4 linked regions of the Pelodiscus sinensis genome follow. The protein of the gene in region 2 purifies or fractionates together with the protein of the main gene of each other region. This does not show direct contact. Links are inferred from orthologs where the notes say so. Each region holds a gene or a part of one and is shown on either strand. Other genes may lie near its edges. The genes, in order: DUSP8, MAPK9, DUSP16 and MAPK8IP1.

What was found.
Region 1: the proteins of MAPK9 (region 2) and DUSP8 purify together in Homo sapiens (affinity purification with mass spectrometry; 4 studies listed by BioGRID and IntAct, with this or other methods). This does not show direct contact. The link is inferred for Pelodiscus sinensis from reciprocal best matches to the Homo sapiens genes MAPK9 and DUSP8.
Region 3: the proteins of MAPK9 (region 2) and DUSP16 purify together in Homo sapiens (affinity purification with mass spectrometry; 6 studies listed by BioGRID and IntAct, with this or other methods). This does not show direct contact. The link is inferred for Pelodiscus sinensis from reciprocal best matches to the Homo sapiens genes MAPK9 and DUSP16.
Region 4: the proteins of MAPK9 (region 2) and MAPK8IP1 purify together in Homo sapiens (affinity purification with western blotting; 4 studies listed by BioGRID and IntAct, counting the BioPlex papers as one, with this or other methods). This does not show direct contact. The link is inferred for Pelodiscus sinensis from reciprocal best matches to the Homo sapiens genes MAPK9 and MAPK8IP1.

The regions. Positions count from the first base shown.
Region 1 is NC_134714.1:116,978,619-116,985,944, reverse strand, and holds the start of DUSP8 (dual specificity protein phosphatase 8), read right to left. Parts: upstream 3,109-7,326; 5' UTR 2,796-3,108; intron 1-2,795. UniProt on the Homo sapiens protein: Has phosphatase activity with synthetic phosphatase substrates and negatively regulates mitogen-activated protein kinase activity, presumably by catalysing their dephosphorylation.
Region 2 is NC_134727.1:33,229,726-33,237,418, forward strand, and holds the start of MAPK9 (mitogen-activated protein kinase 9), read right to left. Parts: upstream 3,408-7,693; 5' UTR 3,212-3,407; intron 3,148-3,211; exon of another isoform or gene 2,856-3,147; intron 1-2,855. UniProt on the Homo sapiens protein: Serine/threonine-protein kinase involved in various processes such as cell proliferation, differentiation, migration, transformation and programmed cell death.
Region 3 is NC_134711.1:128,539,011-128,546,647, reverse strand, and holds the start of DUSP16 (dual specificity protein phosphatase 16), read left to right. Parts: upstream 1-4,497; 5' UTR 4,498-5,124; exon of another isoform or gene 5,125-5,127; intron 5,128-7,637. UniProt on the Homo sapiens protein: Dual specificity protein phosphatase involved in the inactivation of MAP kinases. Dephosphorylates MAPK10 bound to ARRB2.
Region 4 is NC_134714.1:83,261,274-83,269,038, reverse strand, and holds the start of MAPK8IP1 (C-Jun-amino-terminal kinase-interacting protein 1), read right to left. Parts: upstream 3,202-7,765; 5' UTR 2,509-3,201; coding exon of another isoform or gene 2,496-2,508; coding exon 2,410-2,495; intron 1-2,409. UniProt on the Homo sapiens protein: The JNK-interacting protein (JIP) group of scaffold proteins selectively mediates JNK signaling by aggregating specific components of the MAPK cascade to form a functional JNK signaling module. Required for JNK activation in response to excitotoxic stress.

The sequences.
Region 1 (7,326 bases), on a different chromosome or scaffold from region 2:
CATCCCTCATCAGCATAAGCCATTATTTACTAGATCCCTTCCTCAATCGCCACCTTCTTCTCAATTGGTTTCAATTCCCAAAAGCAGTTCAAATACAATAGTGATGATAGGTGCCTATGAGCAGCGGTCATAAAGCAAAGACATTGGGAGACTAAATAAAATGCCGCTTTCCAAGCACTTTAGTTCATCTTTACACATCTGCTACTTCATCACATGCACCTTAGCACAGATCGCTCACCCCTTTTGGAGCCAGGTGCTACCCAGCTTCACAGCGGTGGAGGATTTGGCTCAGACACCCTTACAAAAACTCAGAGGGGGGCCAAATCTAACCACTTCATAGCTGTGTACACATTAGAGCTGCATCTGTTGATAAGGCTGGGAGGAAATGAGGTGGAATCTAGCTGCATCCCACTCATACCATGAGAAGCTTCTTCAGTTTGGGGAAAGGAATGTATTTCGTCCCCAAAGGTTGTTTGGTTTTTAAATGTAGGGCTCTCCAGTTTACCGAGAGGTCATTTGGCAACAAGGGAGATGGATGACTAAGAAGTTTCATCCTAACGCCTATTGTATTTTACTATCATGAGCTGTGTGGTGTCCAAAGGTAGACTGTAAACTCTCTCCAAACATTATTGTCTGCTGGGTACCTCACAGCCTTTGTTCCGTGCTATGCAGATAAGCATTAGGGGCCATATTTTCAGGTATGCTCAGCATTTCCCTTTGTTAAGTGCTTTTGAAAAATCTGGCCACTAATGTAGATACCTAAGGCCTTGTGTAGGCTCAGATTTAAAGGCATGATGTTAGAGGAGAGGACTATAGTGATCATGCTACTGAGGCTAGCAAAGACAAAGTCATCCAAGGCAGATGCACTAGATGCAGTGAGTAAAAACCTATCAATGTTCAATAGAAGTTGTCTTGGAAAACAGTTTTGGAGTGTCCAGAGTCACTTGACAAACTTAGAGCTAACTCCAGGTCAAAATTCAAGTGTAGATCCAAGCCAGGTCACTTGAGAAAAAAAAGTCACACCCCCCCCACCAAAATAACCATGCCAGCAAAAGCCCTGGTGTAGGCAGTGACACTGACAAAATCCTATTGTAATAACATAGTACCTGTACTAACAGTGCAAAAAGGACAGCCTCTGCTCTGAAGAGCTTCCAGTCTCATTTTGCCAGTACAGCTTATTCTACATAAGAATGTAAGTGGAAGGGCTATAGCTGTACCAGCAAACCCTTCCTGGTGTTGACAAGGCTAAGCTTTAGCGTGAGCTACTGGGTACAGAGCTTCCAAATGTGTTGAGGGGCAGGTTTGTTTTAACTGGCAGACAACCAGGCTTTCACCTCCTATCAAACTAAGGCCAAAATAAGTCAAACGGTCACTGACAAACTCATTGCAGGAGTGAGAGTGCCTGTTACCCGGCTGAAAAAGCATCAGGTGGCCAATCAAAATCTTTAACATTGTGATCTTAAGACTTATCTGGTTTTAACACGGCTAACCCGGTTACCGTTCTGCCTGTATGTCTGAAACTTCCTCTCTGGCTACAAGTCTGCAGCTTATTTTTGACTGCAAGCTCTTCAGGACAGGGAACTGATTTTTTTTGATGGGTATGTCTGTATGTTCACACCACTAAGGACAATGGGGCTGAGATTCTTTAGCCTCTGTTGCAATACAAATAAACATGCATCATGGGCTGCACCCAGCAAGCACATCCAAACGTCCTTAACAGAAGAGAGTGCTGCAGCACCTCCTTCCTCACAACAAAACCACAAATTACAGCCCTGCAGCTCCCCTAATGCAGACTGAAGCACTGACGTCAGCTTTTAAGTACTGACCAGGAATTTATTGTGTAAAGGGATATATTAACCAATAAGGAAAACACACACACAACCCAGGAATCTTTCATCTCAACACTTCCAGCCCTCGGTGCTGAATCACAGCACACACGCAGCTCATGCTCCATCCTGCCAATGCGGGGAAATAATTGTAAGGGGCAAGCTTAACTCCTTGGTCACTAGCAGCGCCCTGCGAGCAATGGCAAGGAAGCCCCCATATGCCTCTTCCCTCCAAACACTAAGGCGACACATCCTTAAGAAACCGCAGGCTCGTTCACACCAGCCTCCCAAGCGGGTGGGCCCAGGAGGGAGCACACTGGTAAGTCAGCGCCTGCAAAGCCCAGGCAAATTGGAGCCCGGCTCTTCTGTAAAACCCCACGGTATTAGACCAGCAAACCGCAAACATATGTTCTCCTCCCCCCTCCGTGCACGCGGGCGGATCATGTCATTTGATTTGCACCCTGCAGGATTTTGTGAGGCCGCCTATCAAAAGTACCGCCCTGGCATAAGCACGTAGCTCCCTGTCAGCAGCTCCCTCCATTACAATAGCACCCACCACGGGATGTTTGTGTGTGTGTGTGTGTGCGTGCGCGCGCACCAGGTGAGTGTTGTGCAAAAATTCACACTGTTTCGTTACCAGCTCTGGGTAACACAAGACGCACCCTTCCATCTCCCCAAATACTGCCTCCAACGCGTGCCTTCTGCTCACCAATACACGCACCAGCGACTGCATCTTCCTGAGCCTAGCACTGCGTGTAAATACACACGCGCAGCCCATCCGTGCGGGTGTTGCATTACACAGAATTGGCGTCAGGAAGGTGCAATTCACAGCTACACAAAATACACCTCTACATCTGCATTTTCTCCCCGGCTCCGATCCCTAGGACCTACTGCAGGGTCATTCAGATACGGAGCACGATTAGAAGCCCTAAGCCACCTCTTCGTCCCTTACATTTTTAAAACACGTACCTTGCCGCACTTCCTCTGCAGCCGGGGGAATCAGCGCTCCTGAGGTGCTCCAGCTGATTGCAGAGTTCTGCACATTCGCCAGGATAATTCAACGCAATTACAGGATGATCAAATGAGAAGCACTGCCAGGCTGCTGCAAGTGCTGATGATGCAAGTCCTAGCCCCTTGCAAACACACACATGCACTCCCACTGCAATGTAGGCATAACACTAGCCCACTGAGTGTGGGGCAGGCATGGCCCTGCACGGAAGGGGCGTTGGGGGAGGATGGCACAGATAAGCATTAACCGGGCTGAAGGGATCCAGGAAGACAGAAGGTTGCACTTTAGAACTAAAAATGAACTGAGGATGAGGTCATGCCTTGAAAAAAAAGCACCTGACGTCACCCCCAGCCAATCAGAGAGGGAGGCTCAGGGGCAGGGTGACGTCAGCCTCTGATCCTGGGGCTTTGGGTGCAGATTAAAGGGAGACAGGCAGGCAGAGCTGCAGTTTAAAAGGGGCAATGGCCTAGTTTTTTTCCCCTTTTATTTATTCCCTCCCAGGCTGTAAACTCTTAAAAGGGAAATGCACTGTCTTACCATCTGCTGAAGGAGATGGGAGAACTGTGCAGGCTGGAGCGCTGGGCAGCGGTGTAAAGCAAGCTACTCATGCTAAATGAATTTGGCATGTATTGTGGGAGGGGAAGGGTGTGCAGGTTTGTTTCTTCGGCACACAGATATGCCCTGCTGTGCAGGAGAGGAACTGGGACACATTTTCCACTAAAGCCAAAGGGAGGGGACAGCATGTTTTATGAAATACAGCATGCAGCAGCCTTACATTTTCAAATCTGATTTCATTTTAGAAGGATGTACTTAATGTCCTCCTATAGGATTTTACCTGAAACAGATCCTGTCACCTCCAGAGCATGCAAGGAGTGACCTACAGCTGCTTGCTCAGTTTATGGCTGTCTGGGAGGAAAGAGGAAAGTACATTTCATTTATAAACCCTTAAAATAGCAAGGGACCGTGGAGCAAGAAGACACCCAAATCCACGCTTTGTGGATGGAATATGATTCAGGAGCTGAAATTATCCATCTCTTTCTGTGGCAGAATTCCAAGCTTCTACCTCCTGGAGCTCCTCTGAAACACAAAGACCTGATCATTGGTTTTTTTTTAAAGCTCCTCTTACAATCTTCTATACTTCCCTTTGGGTGGGGCTGTTTTTCTTCTTAGTATTTATTTGTATTGCCCACTAAAGTGATCGGCCACAGGCAGCAGGGAGCTATAAGAGTTCATTCCTTGGGTGGTGCTACTGTAACGCTAGCGGGCCTGCTGGCGCAGGGACTCCCTTCAGCTGAGGTACCCTGCTCTCTGACTGGCCACTGCTGGCATGTTGGGAAGTGTTAAAAAGACAAGAGGACAATTGAGCGATTGCTTCTCCTATATCCCCTTCTTTAAAGAGCTTCTGTCCTGCACGCCTCACAGCCCGATACAAGCCCCCTGAAGTCAGTCACGGACCCTTTGGATCAGACCCCTCAGCCAGCTTCCTATAAAACAGGGAAATGGGGAAATCAGCCTTTCTTTGCTGCTAGACTACTTCACCCTCCCAAGCTATTGCTGGACTCTCTGCTTTAATTACTCCCAGCCTCAGGAAGCTGAGGCCTGTTAGGCCAGAGAGGTTTGTTCACTCTTGCCTCAACTCCTTGCCCTAGAGCATTGTCTGTGCCTCTGAATTACTTTCTGTAAACAGTAAACACGCCACACAGGAGCCATGAAACAAGCATCTGATGGGAACAGAATCTGGGGCCTGTTGTGATTTGATTTCCTCACTTTAGAGGGGTGGGGGAAAGAGAACATGAAGGCAAGACTGGGAGAGAGATGAGATTTAAGATATCCATTTCTCAGGTCCACTGTAAGGGCTCACCAAACCCAAATGCCACCCTTCAGAGTCAGCACATGTTTGGGCCCCTTGAAGAGCTGACACTTTCAGGTGATGTTGCAGTTGGGGTGTCATGCTGTGTGATGGAACGCCGCACCTCTGTGCCATCCCAGGGGCACACAATCGCCAGCCAGCCAGGAGAACTGCAAAAATAGCAGTCATTTCCTTTGCGACATTGGATGTGGCCAGACAGCCTCCAGTTTAAAGAGGGATTAAACTTTAAAAGCAAAGGTTTTGCTAATACTTACAAAATCAAGGAAAGGCTCCCTCCCCTTTCCTGCCTTCTTAGGAAGACAGAGAAGGATATATGTATTTTAAAATTAACTCTTTCTTCTCCAGACATGTACAGATGAGCTGGCCACATCAGGATTTCAAATTATTAGAGTTATTTAGATTGCAAGGTTGGAGAGGCAGCTTTGTTTATATATTTGTATAGTACCAAGCAGTCCTAGCCATTAGGGGCTACCATGATGCAAAGCACTACCACTACTACCATCTGGGAAGGACTGAGATCCCCCCAAGTTACCCTTTACAGCCACCAGAATTGATCACGGGAGATAACTCAGGCATCCGGGCAGAGCAACCATCACTGGGAGTAATAGGGACAAAGTTATTAAGGGAAGTTCATTTTTATGTGCACTCAAAATGTATAACTGTGCCAATTACAGCCTTGGATTAAACCAAGGATTGGCCTGAATTACAACCATCAATGGCCAGACCACTGTAGTCACATTGCTGATATAAACCCCAAACACAATTATGCAGAGCTGCTCTTTGCACCAGGTGCAAATCATAGCTTATGACAGTCCTGACGGCACTAGAAGTTTGCCCCAGCATGATTATACTGGTAACCAACATCCTCAGCACAGCCAATGCCTGAATTTCTATATTATTTTCTTCCCTTTGGCCTCGTTTCAGCCTTGTAGCACATTCCTTCAACAAAGTTATGGGTCTTAATTTTGGAGTGCCTTGCAATTGTGACGGCAGCCCTTTCTACCTGGTCAAAGTGCAGGAGGTGCACTGTGGGTCAAACATTTCAAACAAAAAATTGACTTCTTGCACATGAAAATTCATAGGTTTTTAGACTGTCCTCAGAAAATGCAAAGCCAAGGAGTTTTTCATAAATAGCTTGGATTTCATACCTCCCCTTCCATAAACTTTTTTTTTCTCTCTCTTACTTTGCCCCCCGCCAGTGATTAAAATCATACAAATTAGGTGGGGGAAGGAAGAACAATCTGAAAATGTTTGAAATCCAAGATGTTACATATAAAATTGTGAAAAAAATAGAGGAAAAGTCATTGCCTTTTGAAATCTGATGATGATTATTTCAAAAATTTATAGAAAAAAAATTAAATATGATTTCCATGCAGTTCTATCAAGATGCGATCCAAGTCAGAATTCTCCACACAGCTGGCTCATCCTGACAAGCATTCTGTTCTGAAACAGAGCAACATGAGCTGGAGAGGAGGATGCCACTGCACACCCTACTTGCAGTGGTAGGAGACTTCTGGTCAGAGTAGAAGGAACAGTAGATAGCAATAAAAGTCCAATGAGGCAAAGGATCCTAGATCAGTGGTTTGCCCATATATGTGAGGAGCCAGTTTTTAAGCCGGCTCTCCTCGCATGCCGGCTCCATAGAGCCACCTGCCCTCTCCCCTCACCCCCTGCTGCCTCCCACAGAGACAGTGATGGGGGACAGGCAGCAGCATGGAGGGAGGAGGGAAGCAGGGGAGGCTGCCAGTTTAAAAACGAGCTTTTCACCATATTTCCTGCTAAGGTTCGCGCCTGGGCAACCACACAAAAAATCCCCCTCCCCCCTCCAGGAAAGCTGCGCAGCAGCACTTGTGCAGCAGACAGCTGCTCCAGCAGGCAGGGCCAGCTGAGACAGCAAAGTGAGGGAGCCTCTGAGGTGGGGCACTGGGACATGCCACAGCTGTGTGGCGGGGAGGAGGGGACTACTCTTGTGACTGGCACTGCCGCGTGGCAGGGGTGGCAGGGCCTGTTCTCATGGCAGGGGCTGGGAACAGGACCTGCCGCATGGCCAGGGGGGACTGCTCCAACGGCTGGGAATGGGACATGCTGCATGGTGGGAGGGGCAGGGTGTCTACTCCAGAGGCTCAGAACAGGACATGCCACATGGCCAGGAGGTCTGCTCCGGCGGCTGGGAACAGGACATGCTGCATGGCAGGGGAGGGGGGCAGTTTCTGCTCCAGCAGCCAGGAATGTGTGTGTTAATAAATTGGGTGCCATAGTGGCACACATCAAACCAGCGCACATGACCTCAATATTGGTGCAGAAACCACAATTCACTACACTCATGCTTGGAAAATCTTAGAGGGAACGCTGCTCCCCACGCAGACTGGCTCCCGCCTGCCACTCTGCACTGCAGTGGGGCAGGAGTGCACTGCCCATGTTCCCTGGCCACGTCCCCAGGGCCTATCGAATAATTGTGTAACCAATAATATTTAATGTGCTTACAGGACTATTCAATTCATCGCTATCTAATTTCCCTAGTTTTCAAACTTTTTTTCTTATGACCCACTTGAAGAAAATTAGAATCAGAACCATAGAGCTGGAAGAGACCTCAGGAGGTCAAGTCCAGCCCCCTGCCCAAG
Region 2 (7,693 bases):
ACCATCTGATATGCACTTACTTGTCAGACAGTCAACTAGTGATGTGACTAGTCGCTCTCCCTCCCCCCTCGCTGCCTCTACCAGAGAGAGGAAGCAAAGGGGGGGAGCAGGAGTTGGGGGGGAGCCGGCTTAAAAGCCGGTTCCCCTAGCACAGTCTTTGCAGGGGGGTAGAGGAGGTAGAGGGACAGTGGAAACGCTTTTGCTGTGATTCTGCTTTTGAAATGTACAAGAGCTTCAGAGGGGCCTCCTTTTGAAATGTACTAGAGCCCGCTGGGGCTCTTGTACATTTCAAAGGCTCAGGCACTGCAGGGCCATTCTCCTGCTGGCCCTGCACTCCCTGGGGTGCTTCCGCCTTTGAACTGTAGCAAGAACCCCAGTAGGGCTCTTGCTACTGTTCAAAAGCGGAGTCGCCCTTATAGACTAATCCAGGGGTCTCCAAACTTTTCAGCCCGAGGGCCGCATTAACTATCAAACAGCAGTTCGGGGGCCGACTACACACTTGAGGTCCAAATAAAAAACAATCAAAACATGGATGTTGTTTTAATTATTTAATATTATTTTATTCAGTTATTATTTAATAACACATTGATACACTACACATGAACACCTGTATTAGTGTGAATGGTGAAATTGTTTCCTGGATGCCAAAATAGCAGACATTTCTGGCTTTAGATTTGTTGTCCCTAACATCAACAGTGACCTGAGATTATCATCGGACAAGTTTGTTCTCAAATTGTTCTTCACGTAATTTTTTTTCCGTAGACAAAAAGGTCTCCACGGGCCGGATGAGAGGGCCTCGCGGGCCGCATCCGGCCCGCGGGCCGTAGTTTGGAGACCCCTGGACTAATCGAATAGTCAATGGAAATCCCACTGACTATTCAATTAGTTAATTAATCTAAATTTAACAACCCTAATTCAAGCCCAGGTCCAGCCCTGGTATCGGCTCCGAGCCATGGCTCAGGTTCTATTCCAGGGATGGGGAATCTTTTTGGGGTCAGGGGCCACTGACCCACAGAAATAACAGTTGGGGGCCCGCACGCAAGTGAGAAACAAAAAAAACCAAAAGACTAATCCTCACTGATGTGGCCCTTAACTAAGGAGAAAAACACGTTCCACATTCCCCTCACACACCGGGGCCTGGGGGGCCTAGGCTAGTAGATTCAGTGTGCTCCAGCTCCGTGGGGGAGCGAGAGATTGGGGTGCCAGCACAGGCTCCCCAGTGCTGGAGGGGGGAGCCCTAAGCCTCAGGGGCCAGATCCAGGCAAGCTGGGGCCCACCCCTGCCCTATTCCCAATTGTACCCCTGCTCCCAGGCAGTTATGGCCTGCCCAGGGCCCCACTTCTGGCCACGACCCTAGGCCTGCTTCTGTCCCTTGCTCCTGGCCGCAATTCCAGCCCCTGCTATTGGCCAACTCCCAGCTTTTGGTCCTACTTCTGGTGTCCCAGTTGCGAGCCCAGCTATGGCTCCAAACACCCTGGAGCATTAGGCTTTTAAGAATACACAGTTTTCAAACTAATAATATTGACAGTGAATTAATTCTTGGAAATCAGTAAACTAAGACAGCATAAACTGCTACAACTCCTGGTCTACGTCTAGATTGCATCCCTTTTACGGAAAAGGGATGCAAATTAGACGTATCCCAATTGCTAATGAAGCAGGGATTTAAATCTCCCCCACTTCATTAGCATAAAAATGGCTGCCGCTTTTTTTTTGGCACAGAGCTTTGCCGGAAAAAAAGCGCCATCCTAGACGCAGATCTTTCGGAAAATAAAGCCTTTTCCGAAAGATCCCTTATTCCTTATTTTAAGAGGGATAAGGGATCTTTCGGAAAAGGCTTTATCTTCCGAAAGATCTGCGTCTAGGATGGCGCTTTTTTCCGGCAAAGCTCCATGCCGAAAAAAAGCGGCAGCCATTTTTATGCTAATGAAGCAGGGGAGATTTAAATCCCCGCTTCATTAGCAATTGCGATACGTCTAATTTGCATTCCTCTTCCAAAAAAGGGATGCAATCTAGACATAGCCCTGCCATATACTAAGAGATGTTAAGAGTTTAACCAGTTAACTGATAAAACAATACTTATTGATTAATGTAACCAGTAAAATGCTGCTCCCCTGGGGAATTGGCTGCCCCTCCCTCCTACCCCCACCACGGCTTTACATTTGAGCTTGGAGCCTGCAGGCAGGTTCAGTCCAGGCACATGCCGGGTCTTGGCAGCTGACCCCACTCTGCTGCAGCTCTGCATTTCTGCCTGCTGCCTCCAAATTTAAATGCAGAGCCGCAGCTTGACAGCAGGACCAGCTGCTGGGACCAGCACATGCCAGAACTGAGTTTGCCAGCTCCTACTGCAGAACCCACTGTGGGCTTAGTACATCCCCAGGCTAAACTAACAGTTAACCGCAGACCCCATAAGACATTTAATGGGGTTGCAGGCAGTGTAATATGGGCACTGGTGTGGCGCCTCAGGAGAAATTCAACTGCAGCCCAGCAGAGCGCCCACAGCTATGTTTTGTTTCTATGGTGGTGCACATTTGCACATGCTTCCGTGCTCATAACATTATTCCACACGTGGATGGGATTGCTGAGAGGGAACACCGGCCGGGGGGGGGGGTGTCATTTTTGTCGCCAGAAGAGGGTAGCGGGGTTTAGAGAACCCCGCCCTGCACTAGACCCACAAGAGCCGAGTCGTAGCGGGCCTGTCCATCACGGCTGCTCGTGTTCTCCGGCGGAGCCGGGTCGCAAGGACTTTCCCACGGAGCGATCCCACCCGCAGCGGCGACAGCTCGCCCTGCAGTTCGGCTACTCGCGCGCCGCCCTCCCTCCGGCGGCACCTCCCGGCCGGGCGGGCGGGCGCTCACCTGAGGCGGGAGGATGCGAGCCGGGCAGGAGCTCGCGGCTCTGACAGACTGCGGCAGCGGGGGGAGGGGGCCTGGCGAAAATACAGCGCCCCGGCCCGCTGCGGGGGAGCTCCAGGGCCAGGCCGGGCCCCAGAGCGCGGGAGGAGGGGCGGCAGGGAAAGTTTCCGGCGACAGCTTCGCCCTGAGGGGAGGCGGGCTCGCGGCACCCGCGCGCAGTGGCGGGCGAGGGTCTCGCGCGAGCCGCCGCCCCCTCCCCCAAGGCCTGGAGACTCCTCCCCCCTCCCCGTTCCGCCCGCCAACGGAAACCGCCCGGCCGTTGGTTCCCCTTCTCCCCCGCACCGCCCCTCCCCCCTCACCGTCTCCGCCTGAGGCTCGGCGCGCGGGTCCTGCGGTCGCCGCTTCGCTTCTCCGCCTGCCCGGGCCTCCCTCGCCACAATGGCCTCTCTCGTCACAGCCCCCTCACGGGCCGCGCCAGGTCCGGACCCGCTAACAGACAGCCACGCCGCCCAACCACTGCTCCCCGCTCGCCGGCCGCAGCCAATCAGGCCGTGGGGGCGGGCCGCGCTAGCCACTACATAAGGAGGGTGGGGGGACTGCAGTAGAGGCGGGAGGGTCTGAGGGATCGTTTTCTGGGTGGCAACGGCAAGCTCCTCGTGGTGATGACGTCACCAATCTGTGTTAGCCTGTTCCCGTTGTTGTGATGTCATAAGTGTGATGTCATCTCACACCACAATGCCAGTCAACGCTTCAGGGCAAAGCACCAGTGTCAGGTAGGGTTGCCAGGGGTCTGGTTTTGTACCAGACAGTCCAGTATTTGAGCTTTCTGTTCCCGCAACAGATTGAGAAAATAGAAATGTCCGGTATTTTCTAAATAAGATGCAGTGTAGATTGTGATGTAATGTCAAGTGTGTCCGGTATTTTTATTGAAACCAGCTGGCAACTCTACTGTCCCCAGGGTGGCGAGGTCAGTCCCTCGCAGCAAACGGCTGTCGTGCCTAGCCCTGACGTCATAAGAAGACCCTCATGTTGCCACATGCTGATGCCATCCCTTCCTGTCAGGATGGAGCTGGGCGCTCATTGCATCACAATGAGTCTGCTTTCCATCAAAATTGTAGGAGACTGTGATAGGAGGTGACCACTCTGCTGCTACCGAACCATTCCAGTGATTCGGCAATGCATGGCTGCCACATTTCCTTACCGCATAGCCACCACTGGAAAAGGGGGAAGGAGGTCACTGTAGGTAGCACAGCCTCCCCCACTCTGTTAGTTGTTAAACATATGAATAGCTCTTGTAATCCACAGCATTGGTGTAAAATGCCACAGTATGTGTTTAGAGTAGAGGATGACTGAGCATTAAAAGCCCAGTGAGGGGAAATATTTAGCCACCGAACTCACAAAAATCTACATTACAAGCCTGCTCTTCCGTACTCATTCCCTCCCCACCTCAATCTTCAGACTGCTTGCTTTGTAAAACTGCTACTGACTAAAAAAATACAACCTTAACACAATCTACATCAATGGGTGGTAAGTGACTCAATGCTTGTGATGGGCTGGACCCCCTGGTAGGCTGAGGTAACACTGAGCTTGCCTTTTCTGCCAGTCTGGGCATCCTTTAATCCTGTCTCCTTGTGTCAGGCTCTTAAACGTCTTCAGAGCACGCACACACAGGGGTTGCACCCAACTGCAGCATGATACCGACATTGATACCAGCTGTGGGAAGGCTCAGTTTAAGGGACTTGCCACAGCACGCAGGTGGCCACCTCCCTTAAAGTGCAAGCCCAACATTATATGAAAATCTGCCTCCTCTGTTGATGTGGAGTAAGATATGCAAAATTTCTCTCCCCCACTGCCACTAGAAATTACATAAACTGGGATATATTGTAAAGAAATAAGTTTAACTACATAAAGATTGATCTAAAGTGTTTATAACAGATAGCAATCTGCTCTTCTCTTTGCTAAGAAAATACAAAGCATGCAAACTGCTTAAGTCAGTTGGCTAACAAACAATAATGCCTCACCCTAGATATTATTTAGGTAGATTATTTTACAGGCCAAGTATCTTGCCAGCCTGAATCAGGCAATTCTTCTCCCACCCTGTTCCGGTCCTTTTATTTCCTGTTATTTTCAAGCATCTCTTTGGGTGTGGAGGCAGAGGAGAAGCAAACTGAAGGCTTTGATTGTTTTCCTCTTCCATCTTATAGGATTTCCATACGGCACAAATCCTTTCATTCCCCCATCTCCCAAGTGGAAAAGTCCAACACTCAAAGATGGAGGCTAGTAACAGGTGACCAGATCACTTAACGCCGTAGGATCACAGCATCCATGAGTCAGTGGCAGTATGGAATGTCCCCAGGAAGGCCAAGTCTTTTCACACAAAAAAACTTAAAAAAACAAATAGTCTTGCAGGACCTTAATGTTTTTTCAGTTAGGGTATGTCTACACATCAAAGTTATTTCGAAATAACAGCTGTTATTTCTAAATAAATTTCCTAGTGTCTGCAAGCCAACCGCTATTTCGAAATTAAATTGAAATAGCGGAGGGCTTATTTCGAAATTGGTAAACCTCATTCCACAAGGAGTCACGCCAATTTCGAAATTGCTATTTCGAAATAAGTGCTGTGTAGACACTTATTTCAAAATAGGGGGCCTCCAGCCCTTCCCAGGGTGCCCTGGTGGTCACTCTGGCCTCAACCAAGAACACTCCTCTCCCTTCCCCACTTCCCCGGAGCCCTTAAAGAGGTAGACTCTGGCCACAGTGCCTGTGCCAGCTCCAAGCCTGCCAGCCCAGAGCCAGCAGTCACTACTCCTGACCTAGTGGCCCCAAAACATGAGCCAGCAAGCCACTGGCAGCCAGTCCTCCACCACTCCCCAGGAGCAGTCTGCCAGCTCCCAGGAGCTTGCCAGGGCCTGGAGAAGGCGGGCACCTTCCTGATCCAGTGCGGAGATCATGGACCTTATTCAGGTTTGGGGGGGTGCCCCCAACGTCCATGATCTCCACACTAGATGGGGGAACGCGGCCATCTATGGCAGGATAGCTGCCAGCCTGGCCACCAAAGGCCACATGTGAACCTAGGAGTAGGTTTGCATGAAAATCAAGTTGGTCCGGCGAGATTCCCCAACCCTGAACTTCCCCTCCCCCTTCTTCCCCTTGCTTCCTCCTTCCAGCTCCCTCCTCCCAGGTTTCTCCCTCCCCTCTCCCATCCGCTCTCCTCCTTTCCCCAGTCTCACCAGAGTTTCATCCCACCTCCATTTTGTTAAATAAAGAGAGTTTGTGTTCATGAAAATACATGTATTTTATTTTACATCAAGAAAGGGGGTTAGGGAGTGGTAAGTGGAAGGATATGAGGGAAGAATGACGCACAAGCCCTCAGTGGGGCAGACCAGGGAGGCTCTTAGTGCCCCGTAGGGTGGAAGCTTTCCCGCAAGGCCTCCTGGATACTGACAACCCCCCGATGGACCTCCCGGATGGCAGCCTGCAGAAAGTGCAGTCAGGCTCGCAGCAACGTGTCCACGAGAAGCACCAGAGTGCCCAGGGGCAGCTCTGGTTCCATGTTGCAGAGTGCTGTGGTGTCCCGAGTGAGGGCAACTAGAGCACGCAGAGACAAAATGCTTTGCTGTCCCTCATCGAGGTAGGCAAGCAAGCAGGGAAACCTGAGAATCTGCTGTTCAGGAGGGGTTCCTTTAAGCACAGGCCTCGGATAGCCTCAGGCAGCAACCACACAATCTGAGATCTGAGGAAGTGGGTCTGGCCCACGAAAGCTCATCATCTAATAAACCATCTTGTTAGTCTTTAAAGTGCTACATTGTCCTGCATTTTGCAACCACACAATGTAACTCCTGACCTGATGCCCTGCCAGACCTGGTTCTAGCCGGCCTTAAATGTGATTCAGCGTCCGCTCAGTGTGGACGTGCTATTTCGAAATAGCCAAATGCTATGTTGAAATGCATTTTGTGTGTAGATGCGTTATTTAGAAATATCTTATTTTGAAATAACTATTTCAATATTAGATATTTCGAAATAACACTGTAGTGTAGACGTACCCTTACAGACTAACAGGGGCCCTCTGAAGCCTTTTCACAGTCCATTGCTGTCACTGATGGGCCATCAGCCCTGTCTGGCTTTTCCATTGTTTTACCTGTAGTGTTAGCAGTAGGTGTTACTCTCTGTAGCATAGTTGAAATACAAATAGAAATATTGACTATGTAACTTCAGATACAAAAATGATATAAGTATACAAGTTGGATAGTCACATTCAGTAAATCATAACCTTTCCAATACCTTATCTGAGCCATCTCAAGGTCTCTCTCAATTATGAAGAGTGATAGAAATGTAGCCATGTTAGTCTGGGGTAGCTGAAGCAAAATGCATTTTGCTTCTCTCAATTATGTCATCCATATCATAAGCTTATTTGCATAAAGATATGGAGTGTAACATCACAATGAGCATTTCTACCTCTGTCTAGTCTCCCCTCACTGTAATTTTAAAATTTTTTTTACTGAATTAACGTGCTTTAGACTAGTTATCAAATTGCCTTAATACTGCACTTTTTGGCAATACAAGAAAACTAGCTGCTCAATAAACAGAAGAAGCCCTTTCCATCACCTGCCAAAAAATTCTGTTCAGCAGATGCCATTGGCTTCCATGCCTGATTTTCACTATACCTTTTTTTGGTGTAGTACTGGCTTTTGACAAGTAAAACAAACTGTGGGAGCTTCAGAACTATTTACCAGAAATTACTACAAGCAGCTATTGTAGCACTGTCAAGCCATCCAGTTAAGTATTAAAACATCTCTATTTAAAAGCAACTCTGCAGGGAATATCTTGTATGTATATACAAA
Region 3 (7,637 bases), on a different chromosome or scaffold from region 2:
AGCAATATTCAAGCTGCCTGGAAACCATCATGTCATGGTCTTGCTGCATACACACATTCAATGTCTCTGGCTCATGAAATTTAGCATGTATTGTGTGCAACAGCCAAATTCTATGGTCAATATTTTTTTTTCAGTATTGCTTCCCTAAAGAGGCAGTGGCATATGCTAGTGAGATGAATGTCAAGCAACTGAGATCAGTTGGGGGACAATCAGTATTTGGGGCCCAGATGAGTGCAAACTGGCATGAAGAACCAGTAGTTTTTGTAAAATGCTGTTCTCTCAGTAGCTTTATTTCCAGAACACCTTGCTCAGATATCCCTCAAGTTTGGACCACTAACACTTCTAAGCACCCCTATGAGACACTGATAGTTTTAAGAGAATCCAAATAACCATGCACATTTTAGAATACTTAGAAGCATCTACTTCTAATCAGAAAATGATGTTCAACCGTGACCATAAAAGCTGGTGCTTCAGTATAGTAGAAGATAAATCAGACATTACTGTTGTTCTTTTTAAGAACATAAGAATGGTCACACTGGGTCAGACCAATCATCCATCTAATCTAACCCAATGTCTTGTCTTCCAACAGAGGCCGCCAGATACTTCAGAGAGAAAGAAGAGATCAGGGCATGTATCTGGTGATCCATTCCTTGTCATCCATTCCCAGCTTCTGACAGAGAAAGGTTTAGGAACACAACCACAAAATTGGGTAGCATCCCTAATCATCTTGTTTCATAACCATCAATGTTCCTACTCTCCATGAATGAAGCTAATTTAATCAGTGTTGCAAGAGATCATTCAAAGGTGAAACAAGCTGTTAATAGCTCTACTATCATAGGACAGAGGAGAGTTAATAGGTTACAAATTGTTGTAATAAGCCAGTATCTGTATTAAGACTGTGATTTTTTGTGTATAGTAATGAATTTAAGTTCACAGGTTTGTCTATTGACTCTGTGGCACAGGTTTCCTTTGATAATGAGTGCTAAGAAGTCAGATATGGAGTGTCCACCCATGGATTATATGGTGTTTTATCTTTTATCATTTTTCTGTATGAGTTAACTTTGAGAACATAGTGATTGTTTGGTTTCATAGTTGTTACTGGGGCATGTAGTGCACTGAATGAGGTACACCACATGGGCTGATAGGTATGTGTGTGACCCTTGGACCTTGAAGGTGTTTTGGGGGCTGGGCGGGAGAGAGGGGAGGGTTGATCATCATAGCAGAGCCTGGAAGTTAAGGTTTTGCATCTGTTGTTGTAACAGAGGTGTAATGTATAGTTACTTTGTGTGATATAAAAAGTATAACAAGATGTTCCAGCTTAACTTTCAATGTCTTTCCCTCAGGGTTTTTATTGCTGCTGTTGTTTTAAATAAAGAGTTTTTCTTTAAACAAAAGTATTTCTAAGATCTGGGCACTGATCTTGCAATGAAGGCAAAAGGAATCCTCACAGCCACAAGGGGCTACGTCTATATTGGCAAGATTTTGCGCAAATACTCTTTAACGCAAGAGTTTTTGCATTAGAGTATTTGAGTAAGAGAGCATCTACACTGGCATGTGCCTTTGCGCAAAAGATGCGCTTTTGCACAAGAGCATCCATGCCAGTGTAGATGCTCTCTTGCGCAATAAAGCTCCGATGGCCATTTTAAACATCGGGCTTTCTTGCGCAAGAAATTGATGTTGCTTGTCTACACTGGCGTCTTGTGCAAGAGGGCTTGTCCCTGAGCGGGAGCGTCAGAGTATTTGCGCAAGAAGCACTGATTTTATACATTAGAATGTCAGTGTTCTTGCGCAAGTACTTGCGGCCAGTGTAGACAGGTGGCAAGATTTTGCGCAAAAGCGGCCACTTTTGTGCAAAATCTTGCCAATGTAGACGTAGCCAAGGTGCTCTACTGGGAAGTCATCTGAAGGGCCTGGAGTCTTCACAATATGGCTGTTTTACTCTTTTGCTTATGATTCAATGTGTTATCATTTTAAATTGTTAAGTACAATTTTTGAAAAGTAATTGAAAATAACTATTGCCAGGTAGGACAATTATGATTAGTTATCGTTTATCTAGCACAGGGTGCAGGGTACCATAAGTTTGGGACCACAGTAAAACAATTACAAGTAAAAACTGTAAAGACTGGACAGAAAAGGGAGGGAACAGAAAATTTCCCCTTTTAGGGCTTGATCCTTGTTCATGCTTAGTTATACTTTACTCCATGATTAGTCCCATCGAACCAATATCTACACCATGTTGTCTAGAGTTCCTGAATGTAGCCACATAGTTAGGGTACTGGTTAGGACTTGGCGGGTGCTGGACTAAAATCCTTGCTCCACCTTTGACTTCATGTATGACCTGAGCAAATAACTCAGAGCTGGTCTCCACTAAGAACTTACATTGGTCTCTCCAGGGCAGGCCTGCACAACATCCAGCCCACGGGCTGCATGTGGCCGGTAGGGGCTCACTATGCGGCCCGTGACGACTACGGACGACGCGGCCTCATCTGATCCGCCGGCCAGGCACAGGAGCAGAGTGCTGCCGGGCTGCCTGCATGCAGCTCCAGCGCAAGGAGGCAGGGCGCAAGCCAGAGGGCGGGACGCAGGCAGACACCAGGACCCTGGCGTGATGTGGCGTCATGATGTTACGGCCGGCGATTAAAAAAGGCTCCGGCAGCTCCGCAAATTGGAAGGCAGAAGCCACGTAGGGGAGGGGAAGGGGTTTGTGCTGAGGGAGGGGGGCAGGTCAAGAGAAAGGGGAAGGCACCAAGGGGCAGGGTGCAAGAGAGACAAATGCCAGGGGGCCAAGTGGAGACAATGAGGAAAAGGGCAGGAGGGGAGGTGTCTGTGGGAGGAGGGACAGGGTGATGCTGGGAGAGGAGAGGGTAAGGGCATTGGGAGCCGTATGTTGTGCAGGCCTGATTTAATTGAAAAATTCTTAATAAAATATCACCTCCCCCCCCAACCTACCCTTGCGGCTAGGGTTGCCAGGTGTCCAGTTTTCTTCCGGACAGTCCGGTATTTGCACTCTCTGCACCGTAAAAAAATTCAGAAAATATTGGACATGTGCAATGTCCGGTATTTTTTGAATTTCCGGCTGGGTACTGGACGGAAGCCTGGTGGCGCCTCCTGCGGTTGTGTGCTGAAGCCAGGCAGCGCGGGGGTTTTTTGTATGCCCGACACGCTTTTTTTTTTTGCTCGACAAAAATTTTTAGCCCGCATGTTCGGTATTTTTTGGGAGACCATCTGGCAACCCTACTTGCAGCCTGCAGCTGTTTTCTTTGGAGTAATATGGCCCTCGCCGCTTTCCGAGTTGTGCAGGTCTGCTCCAGGGTGTGAAATGTCTGGAGAGATGTAGCTATATCAACCTTACCCACAGTGTAGATCAGTCAGAGGTGTGCCGTGGAGAACAGCAGAGTTCAAAATGGCCACCCTTAAAGGGGCAGGCGACTTTTTTTTTGCTCAATAATTTTCCCCCACTCCCCTTTTTTCCCCCTCAACAAAAAATCCTTGGTGTTCCTCATAAAAAAAATTATTGTTTGGTGTTCCTTGGTCTTAAAAAGTTGAAGAAACACTGGTGTAGATACATTTATGAACAGTAGGTCAACAGAGGAATTGTTCCATCACCCTAGCTACTGTCTCTTGGGATCATGGATTACCTAGGCGGACAGGACAACCCCTCCCATCAGGATAGATAGTGTCAACACTAAAGTGCTTCAGTACCACAGCTGCAGCAGCATTTTAAGTGTAGACATACCCTATAAGTTTCTGTTCCTCATCTGTATGATGGGCTTGATAGCATTGCTCTGCCTTACAGAGGTATTGTGAGCATATAAGGGTACGTCTACATTGCAATACTATTTTGAAATAACTAGCACTATTCCAAAATAATTTAGTCCGCATCTACACAGTAGGCAGTTATTTTGAAATGGTGTTGAAATACTGTCAAGCTGGAGGACTTCTTACGCTGACTCCTGTAACCCTCATTGCATGAGGAATGAGGGAAGTCAGAAGAAGAGTGCTCTATCTCAAAATAAGTGTTTTGGAGATGCTTCCTATTTTGAAATTTCAAAATAAGCTCTGCAATTGCTGTAGCTCAATTTGCTTAGTGAGTTAAGCCCTGCAGTGTAGACCCACCCTAAGGGTGCTAAGTGTCCAGTTGAGCTGGAGCTGCTGCTGGTGGTGGTAAAATTCCCTTGTGGAGACATGGCCTGGCTGAGACTTTCCAGGATTGGGTTAAATTGGCCTGTGAAGGAGAAGGCAGGAAAGGGAGAAGGAGGATGCTGGTGAAGGATACAGTAAGAGGGAGAAGGGGGGGGGGAGGCAGTAGGGGGGGGAGAGCAGAAGACAAGGAGGGGGAGGAGGCGGGAAAAGAGGCAGGGAGGGAGGGCAGCAGCGGCTCATTTGAATAGCTGCCTCATTGCACCCGCCGCTCTGCAGGCTCCTCCCAGGGGCTGCCTCAGACACAAAGTATTCAAACACGAGTGCGAGGGGAAGAACGGGGAGTCCCGCCCCCTTTCAAGGCGAGAGAGAAGAGCCAGACACGCCAGGCGTGACACCACTGTGGGGAGCATTAGGTGCAGTGCAAGCATGTGCTGAGGGGGAGGACGCAGCCGGAGTGGGGGGCTGGAGCTACTGCAGAGAGCAGAGTAGGAACTGCTTTGCCAGCGGTGGCTGCCGCTGTCTCCTTGCCCTGCTCCTCTTCCCCCCGCCCCCCCCCCCCGCTCCTTTCGTCTCTCCCTCAGGCTGAGTTCATTCACTGGGATTGGTTTCAAATGACGCCATCTCTTTATTTTTACATCAATGACCTCATCCCAGCAGCTTGAAGTTTACTGACCAGCAAAACTCCCTCCCTCCCTCCCTCTCTCCTCCTCCTTGTGTCTGTTTGTTCTAGCCATTTATTAGTAATTGTGTGGGTCCTTTTGGAACCTTTTTAACTTTCCTTTCCCTCCCCCCTTCAGTTTTGGAAGCTAGCTTGGGGGGGAGAGAAAAACTCCCCACGTTTCCTTTCTCTCTCCACCCCCCCCCTTCCCCTTTTAAATAGATCAGAATAAAGTTTTAAAGAAGAAGAGGAGCCTGGCGCTTTCCAGCGGCTGGAAGCAGAGAAAGTTGGGTCTGGCAGCAACTCCAGCAGCAAAGAAGCTGGTGGTAACTTTTATTCCTTCTCCAGGAAACAAGCGCGCGGGTGGAGGTGGAGCGGGGGGGGGGGGGGTAACTGTTGAAAGCAAAGTAGAGGAAGGAAGGGGGTTGGCAACAGGGTTGGGGTGTCCTCTCCCCATGTTCCTAGGGGGAGCTGCTCACCACAAGGGTCACCCCTATTACGATAGGGACACGACTCTAGGGTGGGCTGAAGCTACGAGTTGATCTCTTTGCAAACAGTCTTTAAAACCCCCGGGTGGGTTGTTCCTCTTTCCCCAGTGTTCTGCTTTGTAGCTGCCTTGGCTTGTGTCCTTTTGGTGGTGGTTGTCTGTGTGTTTCAGTGTGTAGGCCCCAGGAGCAGAGGGAGATAGCAGTTAAATGAATTGGGGGTGAGGGGAAGGTGGTGGAAGCTGCTAGTACTGATGGGCATATGATAATAATCTATGCTGTCTTCTCATCTTCCCACCCAATCCTTTTATTCCTCCCCCCTCATTTTTATTGGCAGGTTGTTTATTTGGCCCTGACTAGTGTACAGTCCCTTTCCCCACCTCATATGGGGTGGAAAAGGGGGGAGTGGACAGATGAGCTGGCAGTGTGGTACACTTTTTAGACATTTAAAAAAAAAACCCACAGAGCCTAACTGCTGAGCATTTTTGATTCTCTTCAACACAGCAAGCTGTTTTGTGGTTGTATGTGGTTTGGTTTGTTTTTCGGTTCACCTTTGGAAAAAGTACATAGCCACCTGTCTTAAATACCAAATTTTAAAGGAGAAGGGACAGAGAGAGAAAAACAGGGTTTCCTTTGTATGAGGCTAGAAAAAGCATGATTTTAAGAACAAGCAAAACATCAGGTAGTTTGTTTACATTAATGTGTATTAAATAAAACAAACTTCAGCAGATGTTTTGGAAATTTTCTGACTTTTTGTGTTTATTTTTACTTCTAGGAACAATAAGTGCATCTGACCCTTTAGATTTAGTAAATAGTCATTTGAATTCATAATTTCAAATATTTAAGTATTTAGAACAATAAAAACACTTTTTAAAATCCTCAAAGTACTATCCAAAACTTTCAAAATGTTTGTAAGTACTGCCTTGAACTTTACTAGATATTTTAACTAAGCAAGCCAACAAAATGGAGGGTTGATGTAGAATCCAAAAAAAATTACCTGTGAAATGTTAGCTTGATTCCATTTTAAATATAGCAATAAAAAAAAGATTGATCTGTGTCTTATATTACTTCAAGCCCTCCTTGGAATTTTTTTCTGAATGTTTTAAGAAGTTATGAGAGGAGGAAACACCCTCACCTTATTCAGCACATGTTGATGTGTGTATGTGACAAGTCTATTGCTTAAGCTGATCAGCAATGTAAACTGCATCTAAGATGAAGGGTGCGGAGCTGTTAAAAATCGTAATATATTTTTTCTACAATTATTGCAGTTCAAATTGATTATACATGTGTACTCTTGCCCCTCTCTTTCTCGTCATCTTTTCCCACGTTTCCAGATGAAAGGGACATCCCTAGCACATTTTACTGCTTGAGCTATGGCTAACTTTTGCTCAAATGTTCAGTGTTTATATACAATATAGTATAAATATATACACACTTTAAACTTGCTGGAGGTATTTTGATCTGTTCCTCACTGAAAGGATGCTTTGGTTCAGGTTCTCTGATTTGTTTTGTGATCTTACTTTTTAAAAGTGTGTGTTTCTCCTGTCAGCATGTGGTTTGGTGAACACAAGAACTTATCAAGTCACAGCTGAACAAAGAGGAGTTGGATATTTAAGGGGTGTATTTTGGGGGAGATTGGAGAAATGTTCAGGATTAATTTCTTTGTGTGGCGTTCACCTTGCTGGCTCGCTTGAAACTGGAGCATTCAAAGCTCTATTCCTGAGGTGAAGTATGAGGGAAGTGTATATGTTTAAAAAGCAAATAGGGTTCTTTTTTAGTGTGAGGTAGGAAGGAGGATGAACCTCTTTTTTTCAATTTTTTGAAACTGGAGAAAATTGTTAAAGATATATTATTCCCAAAGAGATCCTGCAATAACCAGATATGCTTGTTGGTGGTGTTAGCAGGACATCCTATACAAAAATAGAATTTGCAAGAGGTTGAATATACTCTATGCAGTAAGCTTCCTATTACAGTAGCACTTGCACATACCCCGATAGTGTGTCTTTTGCTGTATTTAAAAAGAAGTAATCTAATAGGAAGTGTAAGTTCAAGGTGACAGCGGCAGGATTTTGGGTGGGGGGGGGGTGGCAGAGGAGTTGATATTAAATGTTCTAATGTCTAAACAGGCTGTGCAAGGGTTCTACAAATCCCATTACTTTACTCCCTATTTAGATCACTCTTTCAAAACTCTGCTGGGTCCAGTTTTCTATTTCAGTGATCTAAATGGAAGTACAGGCAGTCCCCGGGTTACGTACAAGATAGGGACTGTAGGTTTGTTCTTAAGTTGAATCTGTATGTAAGTCGGAACTGGCGTCCAGATTCAGCCGCTGCTGAAACTGACCGCCAGTTCT
Region 4 (7,765 bases), on a different chromosome or scaffold from region 2:
GGTGGAGCTGTGTTGGCTACAGTATAAGGATAGATCAAGAAAGTCTTCTGTCACACCAGATACGCTCTGTTCACATGCCCTTCCAATACTCCTCAGTGCTTACACCTGCCAGATAAAACACCCTGGTGGGGAAAAGTGGAGAAGGGTTGGGGTCCAAAACCCCTGCACACCCGTAAATATTTCATCATCTCTGGTCCTCAAAATTCACCCCAAGTTCAGAGATGTCAGAATTGTTTCCATGAATCCCAGGAACCTGATCCCAAACTCAGGGCTCCTGGAATGATTTTCCCTAACTTCAGAGACCTCTGAGTTCTCCCCGCTGTGTCAGAGCCCTGAGATTTCTCCCCATACAAGGTCTTACTATTCCCAGCTCCCTTTCCTATTAAAAGTTGCTTCTTGAGCATTTGGACTCCACTTCTGGAGACCTGGACAACAGAAGGAGATGACACCATGCTCTTCCTTCCCTGGGTGTTGCTGTTTACATTTGAGAGGACAGAGCCCAGGAGACAAATGTTGTATCTAGGACAGCAGCACACAGCAAGCCTGAGACTGTCACGGGACCAGGCTGAGCTTTGCTGCTAGACTCACATTATCCAGCTCTGTGGCTGAGACTCTTCCTCATGGTGGACCCTTCCAGAGGCAGCTTGAATTGTTTAATTTGCATGCAACACGCCCCCATGTTGCATGCAATGGCTTCAGACAATTCAAATAGGCAGCATTAGAACTAAAAGGAAGAGAGTGGGCTACTCTTTGCAGAGCCCCATAAAGCTGTTTAGCAGAGGAAGCACTAGAACCTAATGACAGTATGCACAAGGGCTCTCACCCTGCCTTACAATGTCCAAACACCATGCCAGCTTCCCCTCAAAATAATGGCAGATATTCCCTTTCCCCAATTCTCAGACTCCTAGACACATCACAGAATTACATGTGAAACATTAACCTCTGATAACAGCATTTCTCAGTATAAGTATATACAATACAGTACAGGTCTCATCTCCCTACCCAGCTCAGACTCAGTTCTAGGCTTAGTGCCCCACCATTCATGAAACACACATCTGATAACCAGATGACACTTGCTCAGAATTTCAGAAAAACAAACTACATCAGCCCCTCAAATCACAGGAAAAATAGTGGCATGGCCTATGCAAGACCAAATATCAGGTGCTGCCCCCTGTGCACCCCTTTGCTAATTCAGCTCTTCAGAAGTCAAACTGGCAGGCATCCTGCCACCCAAGCCTACCTGTATCCTTATCTCAGCTAGGCAGCTGTAGGTTCTGCTGTCCCCCTCTGCTCCTATCCCTGCATCTGCCTGGAGCTGTTAGGCCCATGTTGTGAACAGCTTCACAGCCTTCAAATTAAAAGGGCTCTATGTCCCAAATAGATGGGGGGTTTTGGTATTTCTGAGAGGATCGGTTCTAAATCTGCAACACTCTCCTGGGTTTGTTTTGTTTCAGGTCTGTACCTAGGAGCATACACAGGGGTCCTGGTCTCTGAGGTGACATAAGAAAGAGGAAAGAAGGAGGAAGGAAGTATTTCCTGGGGAGGAAATCTGTTTTGGGGAAGGGGGTGTGTTTTTTGGCTGTGAAGTCTTCTGTGTTGGAGAAAGTGTGTGTGGGGGAGAGAAAATGGGGGCAGTTCTGGGGCTTCCATGGGAAATAGGATTTGGAAGTAGTGTGGGAGGAGATGACTGGAAGTAGGTGTGGATGGTTGGGTGGGAGGTGTTGGGGAAGCATGAGTGGGAGGTAGGAGGGGAATATAACGGGAGGGTTCCAGGGTCGGGGGTGCTCCAGGATGCTGTGGCGAGATTTCGGGTTGGAGAGGGGATGCTTGTGTGTGCATTTCCATCCCTCCCTCACAACACACACACAAAGCCAGCAGGAAAAACACTGCCTACCATGCAGATTGCCGCTGTGCTGCCCAGAGCCCAGCCCTCCCCACTGAGCTGCAGGGCGCAAGCCTTCGCCTGGCTGCCCGAGAGAGCAGGAGCGCTCCCCGCAGACCCCACCTGTTCCAGGGCACACGGCTCCTTCGCAGCCCCGAGCAGGGACGGGGCCTGACCCTCTGGCCGGGGGAGGGGAGGGGTTACACTGCCCCGAGCCAGCTGTGGGGCAGGGAGACGGGACCCGGCTGCCCCAGGCAGTCATTGTTCCGCCCCGGCAATACAGCCTGTGCATGCCCGCTCGGGGGAGGGGGTGGGGCGGCCTTTGCCCCTTCCCTCGCCCAGCCTCCTCGGTGGGGAACGGGCACCGCCGCAGCTCCCAGCCTCTGCCAGCGGCCGGGGGCGCAGAGGCGCCTGCAGCCTGTGCCCACAACGGGGATCGATGGGGGGGGGAAGGGGCTGCGCCAAAGATCTGCAGCGACCCCCCCCAGGAAAGGGACAGAGGGGCGGGGGCGGGGAGGCTGCGGTACCTGAAATTGGGGGGCGAGGCGAGGTGCAGCCCCAGGAAGGGAGAGGATCCGGCCGGGGACGTGGCTCCTTTCTCTCGCTCCGCCATTCTCTCTCTCCATCAGGCGGAGGGAGGGGAGACGGATGCTGCCGACGCTGGCAGGGGAGGGCAGAGCGGGGCCGCCAGGCAGGAATTCACCTGCGGCAGGCCCCGGGGGCTGGCAGCCAAGGGCGCCGCTCAAAGCCGAAGCCCCCGGAGGCCGAACTGCCCGAGAGGAGCCCCCAGGGGACTGCCGCAGCCTGGCTCCCCCTCCCGCCGGGCGAGCTGCAGCAGGTCGACGGTGCCCAGGAGCCCCACGCGGGAGGAGGAAGCAGCGGCTGGGCGCGTCCTGCTCCTCGAGGAGCGCCCGGGACAGGCGGCAGGGAGGGAGCGGGGGGAAGGCAGGAGCAGGAGAGAGGGGATGGGCTGGCGAAGGCTAAGGAGAGGAGGGGAGGGAAAGGGAGGAGCGGAGGACGAGGGGGGAGGGGATTGGGCTGGGAAACGGGATCTCGCAGGGAGAGGGATGTGTGGGGCTGGCAGTGGGTGAGGATGAGGGTGGCAGCGGCTGAGGAAGAAGGCTGACAGGTGATGAAGCGTCCTACTACTCTCTGTGAAAGGCTCCTAGTGAGAGGAGTGGATGGGTCCTTACATAAAAGCAGGTGCAGTCCCTGACCTCTTGAAGATCCAAGGAGTAGGAGGGGGAAAAGGAACCAATGACCCTCTCCTACAAAACCGAACACTCCCTTCCCATCTTGGAGACCTCCAGGGTAGCACCCCACTCCTCCCCACCCAATGTCTCAGCACAGCCGTTAGGACTGCAGGCACCAGACCCCCCTCCCTCAACCCACTACTTACAGCCAAGCAACTGCGGGGGCCCTGCAAATGCAGCCGGGGTTAGAGCCAGCAGAGGGGGTAGGCTGCAGCCAAAGCTGCTAGGCAGTAGCCTCCAAGGGGCCTGGAAAGGGCAAGATAATAAAATCAACAGGTATTTTAATTTTCCAGGCTTGCCTGTCCCCTCCCCCTCCATGCCTCATCAGCACCCTGACCCAAACGGGGATGGTAGATCCTATTTTTCAGACATTGATGAAAGCAGAGTTTGCCCTCCTGAAGCATGCCTGTCCCTAGAGATGGTTGAATTACTGCTACTCAGGAACTGTTTGCATTATGGTCACAGCAGGGGGAGGTTTAAAGCCAGATTTCAAACAATTTTCATTGAAAGAAAGAGGTGGAACCATTTCTATTCATGGCAGGGTCCACTAACCTACTATTTCTACTCCTTGCTCTTTAAACTATTTCTACTCCTCCCCTCCTTTAACCATACCACCAGGTCTAGAAAAAACGCCATATTGAGTCCATGCTGAGATGGCATTTAAATCATTTTCATAACTTTAGTAGCACTGCTTAAGGAAATAACATACATGAAGCCTCTTATGGAGCGTGGGGAGCCATCCGGCCCTGAACCCCCATCTGCAGCCAGATGTGACTCTCAGCCAGCAGGCAGAACAAAAGGTTTATTGGTTCACAGGGTACACAGGAATTGGGAGCAGTCAGTACAATCCATTTTGGCAATAGAGGGGCCCAGAGCCTCCCAAGCCAGCTAGATGCCCTCCATCCTGATTCCTAAGCCAGCTGATATTAACTCACAAACCCAGCAACCAGTCCCAGCCCTGCAGGCAGCCCCGCCTCCCTCTTTGTCCAGCTCCCGCCCCCTCTCAACAAAAGATGTTACCTGATTGCATCTCCCACCTAGGCTCAGATTACAAGACAGCCTGAGCCACTGTGTATGTGCTGGGCTAGGCAGCCTGGAGCAGCCTCCCTCAGTGAGGGTGTGTCTAGACTACAGGATTTTTTCGAAAAAGGTGGCCTTTTTTCGAAAAAACTTCCCGAGTCTAGACTGCCACCATGTTCTTTTGAAATTAAATCGAAAGAACACAGCGGTTTTTTCGACTGTGGTAAAGAAGAGGTTACTTACCTCGTAACTGTAGTTCTTTGAGATGTGTTGTTCACATCCATTCCAATTAGGTGTGCGTGCGCCATGTGCACGGATCCCGGAGCTTTTTTCCCTTAGCAGTATCCATAGGGCCAGCCAGGTACATATCCGCACACATATGTCCCTGCTGGCCCCTCCACCCCCTCAGTTCCTTCTTGCCAAAGTCCTCTGACGAAGGGGAGGTGGGTGGGATTTGCAATGGACATGAGCAACACATCTCGAAGAACTACAGTTACAAGGTAAGTAACCTCTTCTTTTTTGAGTGCTTGCTCATGTCTATTCCAATCAGGTAATTCCCAAGTCGTGTCCCCGGCCGTGGGGTCGGAGAGTAATGATATCTTTCTACAGATTGCAGCCCTTCCCACAGCTGCATCTGCTCTGGCCTATTGTGTAATGGCATAGTGTTCTGAGAAGGTATGTACGGAGGACCACGTGGCCACCCTACAGATGTCCAGGATAGGCACTTGTGCCAGAAATGCCACGGATGTCGCCTGCGAGCTCGTGTGGAATGTGCTCTCAGTGGGGGAGGTGTCTTACCACTCCATGGTAACATTCATGAATGCATGAGGTGATCGAGGAGGATAAGCACTGAGCTGAAACTGGAACTCCCCTCATTCTTTCTGTGATGGAAATGAAGAGTTGTGATGACTTACGGAATTCCTTTGTCCTGTCTATATAGAATGCAATGGCTCTCCTCACATCCTGGCAATGCAAAGCCTGCTCTCTGGTCGTCTTGTGTGGCTTAGGGAAGAACACAGGTAAATGTCCTGGGATATATGGATATAAGATACCACTTTAGGGAGAAAGGCCGGGTGAGTTCGTAGTCTGAACTTAACTTTAAAAAGACTGTGTAAGGGGCTCTGAGGTAAGAGACTGTAGCTCTGATACCCTCCTGGCCAAGATAATTGCTACCAAGAATGCCACCTTCCATGACAGATGTTTTAAAGAACAGGTGGCTAATGGTTCAAATGGTGGCCGCATGAGTCCCTTAAGGACTACCTTAAGGTCCCATGGAGGAATAGGGGGACGTATATATGGTAATAGTCTATTGATTCCTTTCATGAATCTTTTCACCATGCTGTTAGCGAACACTGACCTTCCACCCTCCCTTGGTGGACGCCCTGGTGTCTGAGCTATAGTAGATAGTCTAATATTAGAGGAATATTGGCCCTGATTGAGTCAATGCCCCTTTGTTGTGTCCACAACGCGAATCTCTTCCACTTGGCTTCATAAAGGGCTCCGGTAGATGGCTTTCTACTCTCCCTTTGGACCTCTTGTGAGTACCTTGGTTCTAGGTTAGAAAGCCACTCAGGTTCCAAGCTCTAAGGTGGAGGGCCGTCAAGTTCAGATGGCATAGTGTCCCCTGCCCCAGATCTTGTGTGATTAGATCTGAGATTAGGGGTAGTCGAACCAGGTCCTCTATTGACAATTCTCTCAGGGTGGAGAACTAGTGTTGTCAGGCCACCTTGGCAATATCATGATGACCCTTGCCCTGAAACGCCTGACCCTGACTAGAGTGTCCTGTATTAGTGGGAACAGAGGGAATGCATACAATAGCTGAGTGGGTCATTGTATACGTAGAGCGTCCCCTAAGGGCCTGATTCCCTGTCTCATGAAAGAAAAGTATTTCCGGCACTGGGTACTGGTCTTGGAGGCAAACAGGTCCAGAAAGGGATAGCCCCACCTCTGGAAAACCTTCTCTAAACTATCTCTCGTGAGCATCCACTCGTGGACTTGAAAGGAACGGCTGAGTCTGTCTGCCAGATTGTTGCTGGACCCGGGAAGGTAGGTTACATGCAAGTAGATGTTCCTGGATATGCACAATTCCCAGAGTTTGAGAGCTTCCCTGCACAGGGGAGAGGAATGAGCACCCCCCCGTCTGTTGATGTAGTACATGGCTGACGTGTTGTCAGTTAACACCTCCACCACCTTGTTCTCTAGATGGGGCAGGAATCCGTGACATGCTAACCTGACCACCCTGAGCTCTTTGACATTTATGTGCACAGAATTCTCCTTCAGTAACGATAGTCCTTGTGTCCTTAGGGTTCCCAAGTGGGCTCCCCACCTGACATCTGATGCATCCATCACTAACTGCACAGATGGGGCTTGCTTGTTGAAAGGGACCCCTGCACATACTACTTCCTCCTGTGTCCACCAGTCTAGCGAGCATAGTACTGATTTTGGGACAATAACCACCATGTCCAGAGGCTGTCGCACTGGGTTGTGGACAGTGCTTAGCCACCCCTGCAGTGGATGCAGTCTGAGTCTGGCATGCATCATGATGTACGTACAGGCTGCCATGTGACCCAGCAGTCACATACAATTGCAGGCCGTGGATATGGGGGACCTCTGAAGGCCCACAATCACTGATCACATAGTCTGAAATCTGTGTCTGGGCAGAGATGCTGTCTCTGTTGTGGAGTCCAGACAGGCGCCTACAAATTCTATTACTTGTGAGGGGATTATGGTGGACTTTTCCTCGTTTATTATGAGGCCGAGTTGGAGAAACAGTCATCTGGTGTTTGAGATGTGCCTCATCACTTGTTCGAGACGACCCCCGTATTAGCCAATCGTCCAGGTAAGGAAAAACATGTATGCCTTGGTGCCTCATAAAGGCTGCCACTGGTGCCATACATTTGGTGAATACACTCAGCACCGTGGTGAGGCCGAAAGGTAGGACTGTGAACTGGAAGTGCTCGTCACCCACTACGAATCTGAAGAATCTCCTGTGGGCAAGGATCACTGTAATATGGAAGTAAGCATCTTTTAAGTCGAGGGCAGCGTACCAATCTCCTTTCTGGAGGGAGGGGATGATGGAGGCTAGGGTGACCATTCTGAACTTAGTTTTCCATATGAACGGGTTTAGATCCGTGAGATCTAGAATGGGGCGAAGGCCCCCTTTTGCTTTAGGGATGAGGAAATATCTGGAATAGAAACCCCTTCCTTTGAATTCTTTTGGAACAGTTTCCACTGCTCCGAGGTGTAGAAGCTTTGCTACCTCTTGTTTTAGCAGAACAGGTAGGTTGAGCAGGGTTTCGTGAGAGGAGTTCCTGAAGCGGGATGGGGAGGAGTGAGGGGGGCCGTGACGAAGGGAGGGAGGAAAAGAGAATTGAATAACCCTTTGCTATCAGGTCTAGAACCCACTGGTCTGAAGTTTGCTGGACCAGGCCTGGTAGAAACGGGATAAATGGAAACCAAAGTGGGGTAACTGATGTTTGAATGCTACGCTGTCCTTGAGCGTGCCCTTGAAATGAGGGTTTGGGGTGCTGTCCCTGAGATGTGATTGGTCTTTTATCCTGGTCTGATCTTGAACCCTTGTGTCTGTTTCGAGATGGATCATTTCTTATCT